Linked DNA regions of Bombyx mori. The protein of the gene in region 1 interacts with the protein of each later gene in a biochemical or structural test. Links are inferred from orthologs where the notes say so. Each region holds a gene or a part of one and is shown on either strand. Other genes may lie near its edges.

Region 1 (3,373 bases):
GATGATGCGGCGGTTACAGTTCTCTTTACGGAGTTCAGAAACGACCTATGGCAAACAAATGCTAGCATACCATTCTGCATTAACCGTGCTTTGTCCCTCAAGAGGAATAGTCTTAACATGACCGGTTTTGGAGACAAACGTGGCCACCATTTTTTTTGCAACACTCCGTGAACGAACAATTTTTGTTGGCTTTAACTCATTTTCGAACATCCAAACTCGTGACTGGTTTTTTGTTTCGGGTTCGTACGCGTATATCCAGGATTCGTCACCTGATACAATGTTGTATACAGCATTTGAGGATCCTGCGTGGAATCTTTCGAGAGTTCTGACGCACCAAGTAACGCGAGCCGCTTTTCGCTCTTCACAGAGCGAATGCGGTATCCATCGGGAAAACAACTTTTTTACACCTAATTGTTCATGCAAGATTATTTGTATTTGACTCATGCCAATCTCTAAAGTTGCCTGAATTTCACGGTATGTCACATGTCGATCTTCCTCAATCAGCTTACGCACAGCATCAACGTTTTCTTGGGTGACTGCAGTTTTTTGACGACCTTGACGGGGATCATCACTGAGGTTGACACGTCCACGTTGAAACTCAGCAAACCAGCGATAAATTGTGGTTTTGGATGGGGCTTCATCACCAAATGCATAAATCATCCGGTCAACACACTGTTTTTGTGTTAAACCACTTCGAAAGTCATAATAAATAATCGCTCTTGAATTTTCTCGAGTCAATTCCATTTTCTCAACGACTAAACAAGTTTGACAAAACCTCGTGACAAGACCGAGAATCTTTTTTTAAATAAATAAATGGTATTCGATTTTTAAAACCAAGGAGTTTTCAATTAAAAAGATTTTAATATGACAGGAACAGTGGAAATATTCCATTCCCGATACTTTTAGTGCAGCCCTCGTATTGCAAATAACATTTTTTACTTTTACAGTGTGTTAGTTTAATACATAAATATAAAACAATTTAAAGTATAAAAAGCTTATTCGAAGTGGTCTCCATTGGCTGCAATACAGTTCTTTAAACGTTGAGGCCAGTTATCAACAGAAGCACGCACTCTTTCCATGGGAAATTTTTTCACTGCCAATTGCTTTAGGGACTCCAAATTATCATGGCGTTTAGAGCAAGCCGTACTCTCTAAACCTCTGACCATAAATCATAATCCAGCGGATTAAGATCGGGACTAGACGACGGCCAGTCTTCAGCTCTGATGAAGTCCGAAACGTTCGTTTCCAACCAAGTCTGCGTAGACCGAGCCTTATGACCTGGCGCCGAATCTTGTTGGAAGGACCATTCTTGATTATTGAACATGGTATTGTTAAGGGGCTTCACTACCTTCTCAAGAATGGTATCTTGATACACTTGTGCCGATGTTTTGATACCTTTTTCACAAAAGTATGGCTCAGTCACTCCTTCATAGCTAATACCCCACCAAACCATCACTGAAGTCGGATAGTGCCCACGTTACACTCTGTCGACTAATTGGGAAGCTTCCTTAGAGCTTTGAGCATAAATACGGTCATTATGTTTGTTAAAATGTTGCTCAATTGTAAAAATTTTCTCATCCGTAAACAAAATTTTTCTATGACCTCCCTTTGCGTACCGCTTCAGTAGTTGTTTCGATTTTACCACCCTATTCTCTTTTAAATTATCAGTTAAGAAATGACCAGTACGTCTCTTATAGGCTGCAAGTCCTGAGTCATCTTTTAAAATACGCGACATGGTTCTACGTGGACGGCCAGATCTTTTTCTGTCACAAACAGAGGAGGTCTCATTGCACCTATTAATAGCCCGGTACACAAACATTTTACTAATACCAAGCGTATGGAGAGTTTTAAAAATTACATTTGGCTCCATACCTACTTTATGTAATGCAATCACAGCGATTCGGTTCTCTCTATCAACCCACTCCATTTTAATATCGCAAAATATTGTACAATGTATTGGCGCCAAAATGAGAAAACGCAATGAGCAATCATATAAAAATGACAGATTCCAAATTCAAATGTAATAATTTGTTTATTTTTAATTGTAACAGTATTTATGGCCAGACTAAGTATACCTCTAAGAGGTATCTTCGGTTTCGTCTTTCCCGCCGCGTTGCTACCGGTGACCTATATATAAGGCAGTCAAAGGGCTAATGGACAATTAACAATTGGAATCTTCAATCGTTTTACAGGTGCGACTATAAGTGCGAAACCTCAAATAAGGAACCTGTCGGCCGACGTTACGAGATTCGTGCCGTCGGCTCTGCGAGTGAAACGCGAGGACAAGAAGTCTAAACCGATCAAGTCTAATGTTCACAAGCCGACAGATATTCCTAAACAGGCTCCCACTAAAGACGACGCCTACTCACAGTTCATGAGGGAAATGGAAGGACTTTTATAAGCTAAATGGATAGGTTTACGTTTTGAGTACCACAACGCAGATCGAAACAGCGTGCCTTTGAAATTCAAATAGTAAATTTATAGTAAAATTAAAAAAAAAGTATTCAAGCAATGTCCCATTTATTTTAATTTTAATTTGGCAAAATTTGTACTAAATATTATTTAACAAAATTCTCTTTTTAAATTTTAACATAGAATACCTACAAACCGTGTTTGTGTAGTTAATAATCTATGGATAGCACTCGACGTAATTTGGTACTACGAACTGTGTGTATGAAATATTTTTATTGAGAATTGCTTGTGGCATTAATTATGAAACTGAAGTATTTTATGAAGATATAAAATGTTCATGGCAGATGACAACTTGGTATGCAGCGCTCTTCGTAACGGATTTTCTGTCAGTCTTATTTGTAAATAAGTGTTAAAAATAAAGTATCTTTCAGTTCGAATAAATAGTACATTTAAGTACGGTACGAGTATTGTTTTTTTTATTTTTCTAAACTAGGTTTTAGTATTAACTAAAAATATCTTGACAATAATAATTGCTTTAAATAATCTGTAGAAATATTGATAAAGAGGGGTCACACAGGTGTATGGTGTGTAGAAACCCGCTGAGTTTCTTGCCAGATCTTCCCAAATTCCGGTAGTTGATTCAAATTCGCGAAGCAGCTACTCTTGAGCTATTAGGTCTCCTTTGGAGGCGCTCGGGTAGCTATTAGAAAATCTTACCACTCCAGGTTGATCCCTTACCCGTCCACCTGTCCTGGTAAAACTGGAAAAGCCTCCGGCCCAACAGTAATATCTCAAACATAAAAAAGCGCGCATACTATACACGCAAGCACGTCATCGCTAGTGGCTATTCGTATCACTGTTGCCCATTGAGTTGCGTCGATGTCTCTTGCGGATACGCCACGTGCGTGCTTGTGACGTCATCAAGCCGCGCATCGTAACGAATTGATCCTGCATTTTGACA
Region 2 (3,201 bases), on another chromosome or scaffold:
GTAGGTGTCTATGGGCTCCAGTAACCACTTAACACCAGGTGGGCTGTGAGCTCGTCCACCCAACTAAGCAATAAATTAAAAAAACTTCGAAGTGTTTGTTGCATTGGTATAACTGCCTTGTCAGACCGCCACCGTTAAAAATTTTTTGCGACAGAAACTGGTAATTCTCAGTCGTATCGTGAGTCAGGGACTTGGGAAAGATTTGGGATTGGAATAGATGAAGATTTGCATGAAGTACAAGGAATTAAAAAAATACCTGATGTGAATTTCAACCTTTGACCAATTGCGGGTTACTTAAGTGATGTAATTAATTTGTTTTTCAGAAACATCCAGAAACAGTATAATATATTAGGTATACAGATACACGGTTAGAATAACATTCCCAAACGGATATAAAATATGCTTTACTCGTAATCGTTAAATAGTATTGGGGAGGGCAGATTTGATGTATACGTTTGCGATGACCTGCCATCTTTCCCTGCTCGAGGTCATCATATTGTTCTCAACTAAGAAACTAGTTGAATTATAATGACAATAACCTAGATTGAATCATTTTTGCAGAGGTATCAGAGTAATGTGATTGAATAATGCTGTCAATTTTACTTTTTGTGAAAGCTTTTTGAACTCTAAAGAAGGAAAGAGTTAACGCTATAGGCTTAGTTCTTATTAACATTCATGTCACTTTTCCTTTAGATTAAGTGTTTTGACCTTCTACAACAAAGTACTTAAACTGTATGAGCTGTTTCTTTGGCCTGTACCATTGTACAATTAAAAATAAATTTGAAATGAAACCACAATGAAACCAAGTTCATGTTGTAGCTTCTCGGGATTCTCCAGAAAGTCCACTAAAAGTCATTAAATAAACACCATTTTACCGATATTAAATTTCATCCCATATCTCATTTTATTTAATTTCATGCCAAGTGATGAGTGTTCCAAATTAATCGACTTCCTTTCATTTTGCCTCCATATTATCATTTTTCATTATAAAATATACTAGCGACCCGCCCTCGCTTCGCTTCGGAAACTATAATTTATTATTGATATCTCCACTATTTAATGGATGTTATTATACATATAAACTTTCTTCTTCAATCACTCTATCTATTAAAAAAACCGCATTAAAATCCGTTGCGTAGTTTTAAAGATTTAAACATACATAGGGACAGAAAAAGTGACTTTATTTTATACTATGTAGTGATAAAAGATTAGGATATATGGTTATGATACCTTTGCCTTTCCAGTTGGAAAAATAGAACTGCTACTACTACCAAGTTCCTGTTGTTGTTGTAGATGTATAATTATGTGAATTAAGAGTGATTTTACCTAGTTTTCATTACGTTATAACGGGAATAAAATCAGCGAACACTCAAAAACGACCAAAGAAATATCAACGCTAGGCAAGATATACAACACAGCGAAATGCCTTTACCGCCGGCGTTAGCTGCTCGTTTAGCTAAAAGAGGTCTTTTGAAACAAAATGCAGATTCCACCGCTGTCGCATCTGTTGGTCAAATCAACGAAGAAATAATTGCAGAAGATTATGATAGTAAGCCTAACGAAAATGGAAAAGATGAGCCTTGGGAAGGCTTTGTCGATCCTGTCAAAGGCCATCGAGGATGCCCTAATAAAAGTAATATTTATCATGAATGTTCTACTTTTTGTATTAAAAGATGGAAGCAAGGTAAACTGGTACCGACTGAGACATATTTAGAACACAAGGAGAAAGTTTTAGAGCTATGGCCCTTGCCACCAGGATGGGAAGAAGTGTTTGATGAAGGTTATGGTCAACATTATTTTTGGAATGTGCACACTAATCTGGTTTCGTGGATACCACCCGGACATCCCCGTGCTGTGCCTACGGAATCTGCCGCACAATTGCGCGAAGAACGTCTGATGAAAGAAGGCGACGAAAGTGATGAAAGCAGTGAGGCCTCGGATCAGGAAGTTCCGCAGATTCAAAAAGATAAGAAACCTGATCGCCGAGAAAGAGAAAAGGAACATTCACATCATAGAGACAAAAAAAGGCTCAGGGTCAAAGATAATGACTTGGATCCAATGGACCCAGCATCTTACTCTGATGTACCTAGAGGTAATTGGACATCAGGTTTAGATACACATTCTAAAACAGGTGTAGATACCACAGCCTCTGGTTCACTCTATCAAATGAGGCCCTATCCAGCACCTGGAGCAATACTTGCAGCTAATGCAAAACAACATTCTCCACCACCTTCACCATAAGACTTTCATTAGATTGTTTGCTATTATAATACGTAAACTCAGACCTGGCAGTTTTCTTTACATTAACCAAATTAAATGAAATGGTTAGCTGCACTTGTTGTTCTTAATGAATTTGGTATGTAACATGTTTAATTTCTAAATGGGTAGAGCATGTAACCTACCCATTTGCAAGTCTTTTTAGCCTTCTCTGACATTTCTGAAGTTTTATGTATTTCTGCACGAAAGTATGCGAAGTAACAATTTATTTTTACAAAAATTCTTTTTTTATTACCCTTGTATGTAGAAGCTCTTGCTTACTATTAAGTACTCTCAACAAACCTTTTTTGAATGCCTGGCAAAAAACAATATTTTATAAATAGGTAATAATAGTCTTAGATATCTCATAATTCCAGATTTAGGTGTCAGTGAAATCAGATGCACATAATTTACAATACAAAGTAAAAAAAAAAAATTGTTGAAATTATGGTATTTTATTTAAACTTTTCCCATTGTTATTCCACAAATAATATGTTTTATGGACAGAATACAAACTGCATTCCCAAACACACCATTAACTGACGTTAGGCAGCAGTGTCTTTGATTGTTCCGGTTGATATTCACAGTGTAGGTACATATTTTTTATCAAATATCCAAACATAATTGCATTAATGACAAATTCAAGATGTGTAGACAGTTGAGCATACAGCCCATCTGCTGGCGAGTGGCTACCGTCGCTCTTGGACGCACCGCCAGGAACACAAGACAGGCTGTTGCCTATCACTGATTATTCTCCACAAACGTCATTTGAAGTTGGAGTAAATTATAAGTTTTAACATACAGACAATCAATTAAGTAAATGTGCTCTCACAGTATAATATCTTCCCACTGCTATATGAAATATAACTAGGTTTTCGTACACAAATTATAAGAGTTATTTAATAGGTAGAAATAATGAAATAAAATTCGTTGTGCAATTTTTTA

Evidence for each region. The genes of interacting proteins can lie anywhere in the genome.
Region 2: the proteins of WW domain-binding protein 11 (region 1) and polyglutamine-binding protein 1 form a complex in vitro, tested with the Homo sapiens proteins (2 studies listed by BioGRID and IntAct, with this or other methods). The link is inferred for Bombyx mori from reciprocal best matches to the Homo sapiens genes WBP11 and PQBP1.

Annotation. Positions count from the first base shown.
Region 1 is NC_085117.1:15,104,985-15,108,357, forward strand, and holds the end of WW domain-binding protein 11, read left to right. Parts: intron 1-2,192; coding exon 2,193-2,401; 3' UTR 2,402-2,873; downstream 2,874-3,373. UniProt on the Homo sapiens protein: Activates pre-mRNA splicing. May inhibit PP1 phosphatase activity.
Region 2 is NC_085131.1:6,064,026-6,067,226, reverse strand, and holds polyglutamine-binding protein 1, read left to right. Parts: upstream 1-1,143; 5' UTR 1,144-1,422; coding exon 1,423-2,241; 3' UTR 2,242-2,701; downstream 2,702-3,201. UniProt on the Homo sapiens protein: Intrinsically disordered protein that acts as a scaffold, and which is involved in different processes, such as pre-mRNA splicing, transcription regulation, innate immunity and neuron development.